Astyanax mexicanus: one gene and its partner. The protein of the gene in region 2 interacts with the protein of the main gene of each other region in a pairwise test. Links are inferred from orthologs where the notes say so. Each region holds a gene or a part of one and is shown on either strand. Other genes may lie near its edges.

What was found.
Region 1: the proteins of kifbp (region 2) and dok2 interact in a two-hybrid assay, tested with the Homo sapiens proteins (2 studies listed by BioGRID and IntAct). The two-hybrid records come from large-scale screens. The link is inferred for Astyanax mexicanus from reciprocal best matches to the Homo sapiens genes KIFBP and DOK2.

Annotation. Positions count from the first base shown.
Region 1 is NC_064419.1:32,359,718-32,367,617, reverse strand, and holds the start of dok2 (docking protein 2), read right to left. Parts: upstream 3,185-7,900; 5' UTR 3,106-3,184; coding exon 3,046-3,105; intron 1-3,045. UniProt on the Homo sapiens protein: DOK proteins are enzymatically inert adaptor or scaffolding proteins. They provide a docking platform for the assembly of multimolecular signaling complexes. DOK2 may modulate the cellular proliferation induced by IL-4, as well as IL-2 and IL-3.
Region 2 is NC_064414.1:42,927,171-42,934,422, forward strand, and holds the start of kifbp (KIF-binding protein), read right to left. Parts: upstream 3,034-7,252; 5' UTR 2,960-3,033; coding exon 2,522-2,959; intron 941-2,521; coding exon 842-940; intron 1-841. UniProt on the Homo sapiens protein: Activator of KIF1B plus-end-directed microtubule motor activity. Required for organization of axonal microtubules, and axonal outgrowth and maintenance during peripheral and central nervous system development.

The DNA of each region.
Region 1 (7,900 bases), on a different chromosome or scaffold from region 2:
GAAATTAAATAAAAAAGACAATAAAAATGGCTAACTCTTACTATTTTAATAGTAAGTAAGTGAGATATTCTTGTATATAGACAGCCACAAGATAAGATAAGAAGTTTAAATCTCTTTTCATATCCGAACAAAACCTCTAATTGCAACTGATATATCCCTAAATCAATCAATATAAAATTCAAAAATTGGAAACTTAATTAAATTAAGACTTTCTGAATCAGAATCCAATCAGGAAATCAGTGAAAATATCCAGCCCAATTGTATAGTACATGTCACATTCTATTCCATTTAAGAGCCAGGTGGACTCAGACTTTGGCAGATTGCTATTTCAGGGGCACAGCTACTGTACCTGAACGTGTCTATCAGCAGCTTCTCAACAGAGGAAACTGACCTGCTCTTCACAATAATTTTTTTTATTGTTTATTTATTGTAGAGTTTGCATAGCTGCCAACAGGCATGCACTATGGGTTTGTGCACTGCAGCTTATCTTTTTGTGTGTAACAAACAAGGAGCGCCTGTTGGCATCTGCCTGGGTTGTATTCAGTCAGTAGCGCACCTGCATTTTCCATTGCCAAAATAGCAATACACCAGAAATTTACCTTAATACACCTTATTTCTAGGTCAACACGCCTCGCAACGTGCTTTGCTTAGGGTGTAAGATAGTGCCCTATGTTTAGTTTAAGGTTGTTTCTCATTCTGTGGGCCATGAAGAACTCTCTAGTGGTCCACAGGCCCATTCTCAGAGAGAGGCAGTAGTTCATAATGTGATCTTATCAGGATTTTACAGGATCTTCTACACTGAGTAAAAAAAAAAAAAAAAAAAAAAAAAACACCTATAATGCTTTACCAATGAACACATAATGTCTTTCACACTGAGTACGAAACTGATGGACTGCAATGCTTTGATTCTATATAAAGAGCAGCACAGTGATTATTAAAATGCAAAGATTAAAGAAAACATATGACAGAGCAGAGCTGAAAGGCCACAAATAACTGCGAACTGTAGCTTCCCTCACTAATGATCAATAGTGTGGAGGTGTGAAATGAAAAAGAACAGAAAAAACAGACAATAAGGCCTTTAAGTGTCTAACCCTGTTTAACAGAGTACAGAAATAAAAAAATGTCTCAGACAGTGTGAGGGTTCCACTATGTAAAAAATCGTATATATGTTTGTACAGTACAAGTAAAAAATCATCCGTGTTATTTTGATTAACTTTGAATGAACATCCTTAGAAACTCACAAATTAACTTAAATTAAACATCATCAGTTTCAGAAAACATGGCCATTGCCACCTGATGCAATCATCTACCCAAGCTAATCAGAAATGGAGAAGTTTTTTGGACCATGATTCTTGAATTGTTAGTGTTAGCACTTGAGAAATAAATATTATTTTTTCTTTTGGACCGTTATTTTTGCTAGGTTGAGAACCCATGATTTAGTCCAAATCAATGGGGACATTTTGAAGCACACAACTAATGTTGCTGCTCACTTAGGATGTTTTCAAACCAGCACTTTTTAGTCTGGTTAAAACAGGATCTGGTTCATTTGAACCGTTAGGGCAGTTCGATTGAGCAGGTGTGGATCAAGACAACTGGACCAGCTAATGGAGGTGATCTGGGTCTGGTGGTTTGCTTAGGGTAGGAGCGTGATCCGGTCTCGATCCGACCGAGATATCAAATATACTCCTTTTATTTAAGCTAAACTGCTGATGCTTTTTAATGATATCTTTTACCATTGCAAAAAAAAATATTTCTACTTAACTGGAAAAAACAGAACAAAAAATTATATAAATCACGGCTTACAGATCATTGTTACCTGGGGAGAAGGACTGCAAATTTAGAAACGCTAATTACCACAGCTATAAACAAATGCTGTCTCTACTGCTCCATGCTGTTTTCACTCTGTCTGTGCAGCGTTCACTGCGTTTACTACGTGTACATGTACACTGCATGTCCCATTGAAAACATTGTGTTCAAAAGCGACGGCAAATTTAAAACTATTAAAAAAAAAACACTTTTTGTTCCCTAAAGAAGCTTTCTGTTGAGTGTCCTTAACTCTATATGATTGGGTTTGTTGAGTTGTCAGTGTTAGCACTTGAGAAATAAATCATTTTGATTCATTGTGGACCATTACTGACTCCAGTTATTAACAGATAAGGTGTTTGGCCAAATCATTGGGGGAATATTGAAGCACACAATAAGTGGTGCTCCAGTGTTCCATCTCAGACATATCACTTTTCTGCACACTAAACACTCCAGTATTGTCCAGAGTAGACAGATTTAGTGTTTACCCATTGCTTTAACTGTGAATATTGAAGTCTAGCATTATAAAGCACTTTATGCAATGGGTACAACTGAACTGAAAGCTCTTTAGCTCAAACTGTGCAACATATTTAAGTTAAATAAATAAGTTATTTAAAAGTATTTAAGGTAACCAAATGTATTATACAGTTTTTAATAAGTTCTTGAGATGAGAAACCATATACCAACCATTTCTCACAAGACCGTTGTGAGAAATGTATAATTTTTTTTATTTTCTTTTGTATAATTATAATTGCATTAAAAATGAAATGTGGCACTTTAAATAAAATAACTCCCAAAAGCACAAAAACAGTGACGTGAACAGAAAATGAAGATAAGGTTCTCCTCAATTATCAAGAGTGTCTTGAATACTCTAATCAGAAAACATTCTACAGTACACAGAACTGACCAAACCAGCTACAAGACACTTTTCTAGTACATGAAGAGTCATTTAACCAGTCAACAAATTAATTAATTAAAGCATGCATTCAATTGCCATGGTTCTATCAGCTCTTAAATCATTTGGTTTGCTTAAGTGTGCAAGAAGTTCTCCATCCCAAAGAAAAACCCTTTCTTTAACCAAGCCAAGACCAAGCCAAGTTTATTGAGTCTGCTGTAACATGTTTAACATTATCGACAGTCATATATCAATCCAGCCTGACAGTGCAACATCTGAACATCTAGATCATCTAACCTCCTCCAACGTTCTCCTGCAAAGTTCACACTGATCTGAACTGGTCTTACCTTCCCAAACCTCTGCTGCTGCAGATACAGCAAGCCCTGTTTTCGGATGTCCTCCTCCATGTCTGTGTTTCTCTGCGTTCTCTCTGAAGCAACTCCAGCCTGTAGCTTCCTTCATCTGCTATAACACCTCTTTCCTCTTGTGTTTGCGTGTGACGTACGCAACCGCTCCAAGTTCCGCCATTTCTACATCCTGTATCACCCAGCGCTTCTGCTGAGCAATGCGTACACACGTACAGAGTGTGTGTGTGTACTTGTTTTCCTGTATTTTGAAGACATACATGTGATGTTACTATGGTTTAAATGTTCGTCTTGTGTAGTAAATTGGTTTGGGGAGAGTTTATGTAATTTTAGCTGATTTCTAATTATTTTGATGGAATTTAAAATCTAAAAGACTAACCTGCATCTACTTTTTTTGCATCATCCTTCTCTTTGAAGGCCTCACTCACTTCAACAGTCGAAAGAGCACACCAAACCCTAAATGTGTGATAAATGGTTTTATATATGGTTTAGATACAACAGGCTCCTCCAGTATCTTTTTAAACTCTCATAATCATCAGATTTAACAGCTTTAATTCTGCTTTATAACAGTAGAATGTAGTTTATTGGAGTTCATTATCCACACAGAACTATATTGAGGAACTAAACACTGAACTTTGAAACTGATGTTTGGGCAATGTTTATGAGTTTGGACAGACACACAGTTGTTTTTCATACATATCAGGAAGTGAAGTCATAAACATATGACTATGGTTTTAATTTTGAAATAAAGTTAGCTAATTACAACATAAATTACAAAAACTAAAAAACAGCTGCTTTTGTAGGCAATAGGACAGCATATAATCATATTCAAATTAATAAAAATATTAATTTACAATAAGGGACTCAATTAACAGTACTTATCACAGTAATAAAATATTGTTAAATGGTTAAACACAGTAGTGTCTGTTAATAATTAGGTAAGGCATTCTGCATTTTGTAATTACTGTTATTTAATTTAACGTTAATTGTGAAGTGTTACCAATAACCCTAAATATCAGTTCTAAGGCTGTCAGATCTCCCTGACTTCACCGATCACAAGATGCTACGGCATTCCCAGTCTCCATGCTACTAATTGGCTCCACCTGTCTTTTCTAGTATATATACCCCTCTGTTATTGCTGAGTATTGAATCTAGTTTTCCTAGCTCTTCTACGACGCATTCTGTTGTTTTTGTCTATTTGTTACCAATCCCTTTTTGTATCTCCATTTACTTTCTTTGGCCTTGCCCAATCTATTCAGTATCTGTTGCCTGTCCCTCACTACTCTTGTAAGCCTAGTCCCTTTTGTAATAAACTCATTTTCATTTTGATCTGCGAGTCTCTGTCCTTAGTGATACTAAACAGTAACGCTACATCTTTGTAAAGGAACCCCTGATTATAACTTTGATTCTTTTTATTCAGGAAAATGCTGTTAATTTTTTTTTTTACTTTTTTTTTTTTTTACTTTTTTTTACTTTTTAATTTAACTTTTTTCTTAGTGAGACATGTTTTATCCCAATTCTCAAGAATCACTGATTATTATTCTTCATGAATCCCACAACGTTTGCTCATCTCCTGTCTTCAAACTTCAGTCACTTTGGATAATTTATTTTTGTGAATTTAGTGATTGTTATTTATGTTTGTTCTGTATGGGCACAGTATTATCTGTAACTTTGTTAAATGTTTTATTTTCTGCTGCTTTTGACCACAATGCTGCACAGCAATCTAGATTAAATAGTACTAAGAATTACATTACTATTTGTAATGTTTTCTGTGTCGGTGTGTCTTTGGTATTGCATTGGGCGGCTGGAAATGCGCAAAAGGCCTGTATTAATTCTCTTAATTAACCATGGGTGTGTTTTGGGCGTAACGTGAAATAAACCAATCAGTGTGCCAGTAGTCATTCCCTTTAAGAGACAGATGCGCTTTGACTTTGGTGCGTTGATATCTTAACAGCACTGCGCTGCACTTTTTCCTCAGACGAGGAAACTGACCTGGGTGCTCAGACTGTACGATAGGGCCCCAAATCTTTTCCATTTTTTGTTACAACGGTCTTAATTTGTTTTCTCATTTATTGTCTATTATGCCAATTTATGCTAATGTATTATCTATTATGCCTATCTAATGTCTATTACAACACCCAATAGATTCTTCATCTATATTTAACATGAACTCACATTAGGTAGTTCCCCAAATGATTGACACCCAATTATAATAGTTTTTGTTTTTGGTATATTTAGCACTCTTTGAATGTCACTGATCCATTTGGTACTAACTTTAGTTCTTCCTTTAAACTATTAACTGCATCAGATGATGCATTTAGAGAAGTATCATCTGCGTACATCTGCAGCCTGTCTTTATTCAACATTATCAGCGGGTCATTGTATACGTATATGTAAATTAAGATGCATAATGGGCTGAGATAAGCTAGCTCCAACTAGCTTTCTTTCTTCTGATTCTTTTAACCAGTCATCATTCATTTGAATACATGCAGTGCTTTTTGATTGTCCTCTCCTACAGTATGCAATATAGATTATATAAATAGATTGACTGAAAGCAAACTTACAGATATATTATTTGGTCCATTTAAGGCACATTTGCTGTCTTTAGGTAGTGGGATCACTTTTTGCTTCGTTCTGCAGTAATGGGTATATACACTTCTCTATACTTAGTTGAAAAACATAGCAAACTGGTTTAGTTTAGTGTTTTACAGCAACTTTTTACATTTTCCCATCTAAATTGTCATCAATTCCATATGTTCTTTCATTTTGTATCATTCTTATAAGCTTTTTAACCTTTTCCTCACTTACATGTCATTTTGTTTTTCTTCTTTTCTTCTTTTTGTAGAATTTACAGTTCCTAACTTTCATAATTGTTTTTTTTTTATTCTGTTGAGAAGTCTATTGCTATCTTACACACTGTCAACAGCTTACTTTCACTACTTACATCTGTGTCGTTTAAGTAGCAACAGTGCTTGTGAATATATGTATATTGCTATCTTGGCGACTCTACCTCACTTTTTTTTTTTTTTTTTTTTTAAATTTGCAGTTTCTCTCGTTCATAATACGTTTCTTTATTTCTTTATTCTGTTAAGATGCTCATTCTTATCTTACACCCCGTCAGCAGATTAATTTGTACGTCTTGTGTCTACTCCATTTAAATAGCAACAAAGCTTGTGAATATATTTACACTAACGGGTGTGTGTTAAGCTAAATTTCTGAGCTATTGCTATATTGGCAATAGAAAACAAAGGTGCAACACTAATTGATTTGAACCCTGACAACGATCAACCATCAGATGTTCATTACTATCTTGGCAATGCAGCTTTCTGACCTTGTTCTTACCTACATGTTTTCATTACCAGTTTTCATATATGGTTTCTTTATTCTGTTAAAATGCTCTATTTTCATGCCTTGCATCTGCATTGTTAAAATAGCAACAGAGTTTACAAATATATCTGCGTTGAGTAGGCGTAGTGTGGAAGTGAAGTGCGTTCGGGTAAATTTCTAATGTATTGCTCGTGTATTGCTAACTTGGCAATGGAAAACACAGGTGCGCCACTAATTTATTTGAACCCTGACAACAGTCAACTGTCAGATGTTCATGCTTTCTTCCCCATCTTTTAACCTCTTCCTCAATTACATGTCTGTTTCTGTTTTTTGACAAATTTACAGTTTCTCTCTTTCATAATTAGTTTATTTATTCTGTTGAAATGCTCATCGCTATCCTACACACCATCACCAGTTTATTTTTACGGACAGAATTAAGAATAATGTAACATTGCTGTCCCCGTAAATGTCCTGCTCGCACACCTTCACAGCGTGAACATGCAGGTCAGTTTTTACTCTGCTGAGAACTGCAGAAGCTCTGCGCCTTTAAAATACCAATTCACCAAAGTCAGAGCATACCTGGCTCTTAAAGGGAATAGTAAGTAACACACTGACTGGTTTATTGCACATTACACCCAAAACACACCCGTGATTACTTAAGAGAATCAGTACATGTCTTCTGCGTGTTTCCAGCCACGCAAGCTGTACTTTTCCCGTTGTTACGATAGCAAAGACACAATGACGCACTCTAAACCAAGCTTACGGATCGCTAAAATAGGTCACTGAATGTATATTGTGCCCCTCTGTTGTGCATACTGACTGTTATTTAATTGTTCCTGCTTGGTTAAAACTTGTGTAGTGGTCAGACGGCTATATCTGTTTCAGCCAAGTTCTATTTTTGTATCTGAGGTGTGAGCAGGCTGTTTCTGTGGTCAGCTGCAGATCTCACTTCCTCTTCTTTAACGTGAAGTTTCCATCATGACACAAATTCACACTGGTACAGACACAGCAGTGTACCAGTGAGACACGTAGGAAGAAATTAGCAGTGTTGGACAGTACGGAATTAATGTGTTACTGTACTACAGTAGTTGTTTTACTAATATATACAGAGGTGGAAAAAGTACTGAACAATTGTAATTAAGTAAAAGTACCTTTACTTTGCTAAGATTCTACTCAAGTAAAAGTACCCATCTAAAAATCTACTCGAGTAAAAGTAAAAAAGTACTCAATTTTAAATGTACTTTGAGTAAAAGTTACATAGTTAGTAAAAACAAATCATAAATTAAATTATTTTTAATGAACTATTATTCCACATAATAATTTGGACTTTTCAGGCAGTATTTGTTCAGACCACCCCATAAAACATTTTCAATAACAAGTGCTATAGGTTTCTATGATCCATTTTTTTCTTTACTGTTAAAAAGTTATGGTCATAAAGGTGACTATAAACTGTATTTTTATAGTTTTACAGTTCATTGTTATTTTTTTAATTGCCATTGCTATGCTTTAA
Region 2 (7,252 bases):
AAATAGTTGTGTGCCATATTGTATCGTACGCAATAATATCACCAACATTTTTGAATATTGCAAACAATATTATGCCCTGAAATATTGTGCCATATCACTCCTATTGATCACATCAGGGTACAACTTTTTTTGCTGTTTGTAGCAAAATAAAAAAATCACGCTTCTTGCGTTTTCCATTATATATCTACAAGAAACAGACTATATCTGTCTAGTATAATTAATTTTTCATTTAGTCCTGGATTTATGTAGTATCATAATATTCTGGATCATTGACTTCTGTTACAAATCTGATACAATTCTTGTATTTTTTAATATCTCAGTTAAGGGTGTGCCATATCACACTGTACGCAATAATAAAATTATTTTTTTATTTTGTTGCATTAGTGTATTTGTTTTTTTATTCAGCTTTTTGTCATATCTCCAAGAGTATCGTTTCATGAAAATGCCATATCGTGACTATCGAATAATATAACTATTGTGATATTATTTTAGGGCCATATCGCCCACCCCTATAACCAAATATAATGAAAATCAAATGCAGCATACTATATGCTGGTTAAGAGCTGGTTAACCAGCTAGATTTCCAGCAAAGTGTATGTTTCATCTGGACGAACAGCTTTTCAACTACCTTGAGCTTCCAAAAGTAGCTAGTCCTGAGCTGGATATTCCCGCAGTGTCATGGTATGACTATGTTAGCCTGCTCAGAACATCTCAATCTGTTAGTTAATATTGCTATCCCCTTACACTACACAAACTGGGTGTAAACATTGTGTATGCGAATAAGTGAAGACATCTTCCACGTTTTATTGTGGGTGATTAATAAAATAAAGATCTGCATCACCTCTTTCATGTAGTTTACATAAATGGATTCTGCTGTTTCCAAGAATCCTTGAGCTTTCTCAGTTTCATCTCTTCCAGCCCACAAGATCCCAAGCTGGTTCTGTTGAGGAAAGACAAAGAGTCAGGTTACACATAGGCCTGTCACAATAATTCTAGGTATTAACTTTTTAAACAATATATTTGCTTTGAAATATACATTTACTTAGAGAGGAGAGCTGATATGGGCCATACTATGGTATTTTATCATACTGTGAAAAATCATATCAGAAATATCATCAATGCTTAAAGGTCACCTTCCGTCGTTTTTTCTTTCATTTTAAAATGTCTAGTTGTGGTCTCTAGTATGAATGAATGACATGTGAGCCGTTTTTGTAAAAAAAAAGTGCTCAGGTGTCTCTGTATAGCTCTTTTTTAAAGGACTGTTTTAGGGGTGTGTCCAAAATGACCGGATTCCAGCTTTGCTCATGAATATTCATACATGCAAACAGCATGCAAATATCTCTCCTCTGATTGGCTAGGAGCACTGCGACGCCCCTCCACCGCTCTGCCGCTCACTGCCTCCCACCTCCTAACTGATGAGCGGTGATGTTGCGTCGCTTCAGCTCCGCCTCTGGGAGTTTCTCGAGCCAAGGTGGGCTGGTCTGTGAGTTTCTGCCTACGTAGGCAGAAAGATAATTCAAAATTCACCCGTTTTTCGGAGGGGGGGAGGGGGGACTTCTTTGCTTAGCTCCTGCAGACAATGGGGGCTGCAAAACAGTTTAATGTGCAGGTGTACACATTCAACTCGGAGAGACCTACTGTATTCCACAAAAAACAAGAAAAATCGGATTTTCGCGGAAGGTGACCTTTAAAGAACACTGACCCAACTATATAAGAGAGTGTAATTGGGTAGCAGTTTGTAAGGAATTTGCTACTGCATTGCAATTAGGGATGCATCAATACTGATACTGGTATCAGAATAGAAAAGCATACTTTCTTCATTTCTTTAAAAAATGCTAATGTATATAATGTGACTCAAAATATATCTCAAAATTAACAAATGAACTGTTGCATTGCACTACTTTACACTAAAACCTACACAGTTAAATAATGCTCCTGGTATGGGCGAATACACAAATACATGAACTCGTACTCTTACGCAGTTGGGAAAAAAAAGTATTGATGCATCCCTGATTGCAATAAATATTGTGCACTGTGAAAATGTCTTTAAACACTGTGATACAATAGTTTTACAGTATCACCTAGTTTTAGAGCAGAGTCACAAAAAAGTGGGATTTTTTTTTCATTTATTTAAGATATTAAAAATGGCTGAGGAATATTGTCAAAATATTGCATCAAAAAATCTTTATAATACATGGTCTTAATTGCAATATTTTTACATCACACATAGATAGAAAACATGCATCAGTAGTGATAGTCTGAACAACAACTGTTGGTAAAATAATCTCATTTAGTACACATTTAGTTCAGTGATTTGTGTTCAGAATGTGCTGCTGTACTCCATCCAGTTACATTATTTGTAATAAAATGTGTAGCATATTTTTCTTAGACTGACATTATACAGAATATGCTCAGAAATGTAACTACAAATCATGTGCATCATGATAATAACACCTTAGTGATATTTCTGTGATATATTCGGGATGTATGAGTGATGAATTTGTGTACACTGTGTTTTTACCCTGGCCTGGATGAACAGAGAGACGTTCTCCGGGGTCACTGTGCATTTCTCCAGCAGCTTCATGCAGTTCATCAGATGCTCCTCACCGGCTGAGAGCTCCTCGGTCTCGGTGTGGTTCACGCCCAGGTAGTACTCGATGACCGCGAGCTTGGCGGCTCTGAGGCCGGCCCGCGAGTCTCCCGGCACGGATCTCCCGGCTCCACACTCCGCCTCCTCGGAGCCGCTCTGCTCGCCCTGCCCGTCCGCCTCGCCGTCGCTCTCCTCCGCCTCCACGCTCTTCAGCGCGCAGTAAATGTCTTTTAACAGCTCCCGGGCTTCGTATTTGGAGCGGAACGGGTCGTTCTCCGGATCTTTTCTGGACTCCACCTCGGAAAGGTGGTTCGCCCGCCCGAATTTCTCGCACACCGCCCTCCATTCACGACTGCTGGTGGACGCCATGTTTGTTTTCTGAGGAGAAGAAGCAGAGCCTCTCCCTTCAGTTCAGCTCAGCGATCCCACCAGCAGAGGCCAGCAGCGGCCAGAGCCGCTGGATTTCAGCTTAGTATACACAGTGCCTCAACACAGCCCCTAAAGTGACATCAAGTAAAAAAAAAAAAAAAAAAAAAGCCTGGCCACGACTTATTAACGCGTGGGAACGAGATAATTAATAGTGGGACGGCTTATATGTTCCCACGCTTTAATAAGCAGCCCCCACAACTTAATTATCTTTGAGCCCCTAGGGTGACATCACAAAAAAATATGCAGCCACAACCTAACCCTTTCAGGCTTAAATTATTATGTTTCAATAATGGAAACATATAACAATGCTCTTTTCTGTCTGTAATATATGGAGCCACTAAGGTGACATCATTTAAAAAAAATAATGCATGGCCATACTTTATTAAGGCGTGGGAACAAGATCCTTAGGCGTGGGAACAAGATCCTAATGCATGGGAATGAGATAATTAAGGTGTTGGGGCAGCTTATATGTTCCCACGTTTTAATAAGTCGCCCCCACAACTTAATTATCTCTGAGCCCCTAAGGTGACATCATGTAAAAAATAAAAATAATGCGTGGCCACACTTTAATAAGGCGTGGGAACAAGATCCTAAGGCCTTTATTTCCATAGGCATTTATTTACAGAAAAGTAAGCTTTATTACTCTCCAGCTAGATTTAATTAACTTGTTCCTACGCCTTAATAAGTCGTGGCCACACCTTAATGACCTCATTCCCACGCCTTAATTATCTTGTTCCCACGCATTAGGATCTCGTTCCCATGCCTTAATAAGTCGTGGCTGCTAAAATTTTTTTTTTTTTAGCATGATGTCACCTTAGGGGCTCTGTAGTACTAATAAGTTGCCCCACAACTTAATTTTCTCATTTCCACGTTTTAATAAGTCACCCTATGACTTAATTATTATATCTTGTATCCATGCCTTAATAAGTCATCCCCATGCATTTTTTTTACATAATGTCACCTTAAGGGCTCTATACCCAGCAAATTTCTTATGTTGGTTCCCCCTCTCATCCACCCACACTTTTTATTAATGGAATTCATTATCTTGATTTAAAAATGCTTGAACAAATCCATGGGGTCCACTTTAACAAACCCACTTAATTTTATAGAAATAATATCATGCTTTTGTTTGATCTGCAAGAAGCATCCAAACTGAGAACTAAATTCAATAAATAACCCAAATACAACCCCAAAACAAAAGAAATTCACAATAAAATAATGAATAAAACTTTTATAAAAGTATGGGTCTTATCTTACACTCTGTGCTAGTTGCATCACAATGCTCATTGCTATCTTGCACTATGCCAACAGTCAATTTTTACACCTTCCACCTGTGTGGTTTAAATTGTGCCCGTGCTTGCAAATAGATCTTTAAATTGAAGTGTGTTCAGGTAAATTTATGTTTATATGCTCAGCTGTAGTGGAAAGTGACTGCACAATCAGTAGACACGCATCAGTACATGCAGTGTTCACACAAGCGTCAAGTACAGTAGATCTCAGGTCTTACCAGAAGCCACTGAATTTACGCTTCTGAATGGCGGGTATTTCTGTACTCTATCTTCCTTCAGAAGTAAAAATAATTTCCTGTCTGAAAAAGTTCTGTGCTGTAAAAGGCAAATCATCACACCATTTAAAACGCTCAATAATTAGCTCTAAATAATAATAATAAGACTCTTTCCTTCATATTTGTATATTTTTAAGCACATCTTTCACAATACTTTGGTGTACTTGCACATTGGAGCTACCACCTATCATCTACTTCTCTCTATCATCTACTTCTATCTATCTATCTATCTATCTATCTATCTATCTATCTATCTATCTATATATATATATATATATATATATATATATATATATATATATATGATGCACCAGACAAGCCACAAATTGACTGAAGTGCATCAGCACCTGTCTTAAAATAAACACCCACATCCTCTCACGTCATCAGTGCTATGGGGGCATGTTTGACAACCATAAGTGCACAAGAGCATTATTAACTACTTAGTCTGTTGGGTTAGTAATGTATTATTTGCCAAAAGGTCAGAATTTCACTTTTTTTTCTTTTCTTTCAGTAGTTTTACGCAAAGTACTGTTTATCGGCTAAATTTAAAGTCAGGTTTAAAAATAGTGTAAACTTCAGTGTGAACTTTATTATTTATTTTTTCCCATTTGGTAAGGTGAAGAAATGGACTTTCATCCATTTTTACATTTTTCTATTTTTGCATAATAAGAATGTCAGGGAATATTCAGATGTTTCCATTTTTGCATCTTGTAAAAATCTAATGGTATAATTCAATCTATTTTTTTAAGCAGACATGAAAAACGAGACAATTGGACAAAATGTTTTTTCTTCACTATGCAGTTGTCTACACACCACATGCTTCTGTTTCGGACACAGTGTCTCATGTTGCCTCACACTGATATTCAACTTTAAAATAAACCGTGGATGAACCATGCCGCACTCATTAACAGTTAAACTATCCAGGGTTCTAGAGGACAACTGAAGAACATAACTCTTTCTCTCATTTTAATAAATGTATAATAAAAGCAAAATAAATTAATACTGTAATTGAATATTTTAATCAATCTGAACAACGGTTTGTGCTGATTATAAAAATATAATGAAATTTTAGTGTTGACTAAGTGCTTGGGTCAGAAACGCTGTGGGAGAGGGGTAATGGGCTCATTTACACAGTTTACACTCCATTTGGTTTGTGTCTCTAAATGTCCAAACACAAGAGATTACATATTTACTCACAAAATTTCAGCACTTCACTTTTAATCATTTTCTGGATATTTAACAGACTTTTAAATCCTACATTCAGGGATTAACAGAATGGCAGAAATTATTGTTGTCTAATCCACTAATGAAAAACATAATCATCAGATTTGTCGACCACCAAAATAGTCATTTATTGCAGCTCTTTATCTAATGTAGGCTTTTCTGTTTTGTAGGATTTTTCAGATACAGAAAATGACTAAGGTATCCTATGAAAACTTTGTAGTGTATTGAAGGGTGTGATTGGAGATAACCACACCTTCACACTCTTATTCTTAAATGTTTTATACATGTATATATACAGTTATTATTTTTACTGTTCACTTTATAATTCACTTAATAACCTTATGATCTCTGCTCTCTTTTTAACTGTCACTATGACAAGGCTTTGGAGGTTGTTTTTACTTTTTCAGGAATCAGGAAGGTCAGAGTGTTTTCATCAACAATGAGAGCTGTGAGGAGAACGTGACCCTGAGTGGCAGAGAAGCTTCACTACTGTTCTGGGACCAGTGCATATGAACTAGGAGACAACAAGCTATCTGAGTGAAGTGCTGAGGACCTCTCCTCAGATAGCCAGCGCTTGCCTGTTCTACACGCCGTAAAGTCGTACACAGGGCAGAAGATCTTTCCATCCACTCTTTTCCTCTGTTTCATCTTCTCACAGACTTTAGGACACTTAAGGACTGTCTGCTGTGTTCATGAAGGACACAGTGCTGAACAACATCATGATAAGAACCTGTTGCTCAGACAGGCTGGAGCGGATCACGTCATTAAAACTGGACAACATGCTGTTAACTGGACTCTGCTGACACAATCATAGTGATAAGTTCTGTCCAATCACATGTCATTTGCAAAATGTATAACTGCTTGGATGAAGTCTGAGGAGTTCTCTCTGGCCCTCGACTGGCTTTAGTTTCTTTCTCTTTCTTTCTCTCTCTCTCTCTCTTTCTTTCTCTCTCTCTCACTTTCTTTCTCTCTCTCTCTTTCTCTCTCTGGGTTGCGAATGTGTTGATCTATCGAGATTTTATTCGTTGATGTACTTTTACTCTTTTCTAATATATATCTTTTAATTTTTGTTCCTTTTATATATCTGTAATGCTGAAACTATTTTTCAAGTAAACTTTAATATATTTTAAATTCTAAGCTCTGACTCATTGGTCATCATTTCATGTTCTGAGATTTCTCACATCCGAGTTTTATCTAAGTCATACTGTGGTAAATTACCCTACAGTATAAGTTAAGATATGCAAAATATTCGGCCATTACATTGTTACCACCTTGCTAATGTTAGTAGGTCCCTCATGTGTCACCACATTAAATTTAGACATTTGTGTCATGGTCTCACAGTCAAGTTGTTTGAAGGTTTATTTTGTTGTTTTTTGTATCTGTCACCAAGACATTATTGCAGCAGATCTTTCCTGTAATTGTGGTTTAGTGGTTTCCTTTCTTGG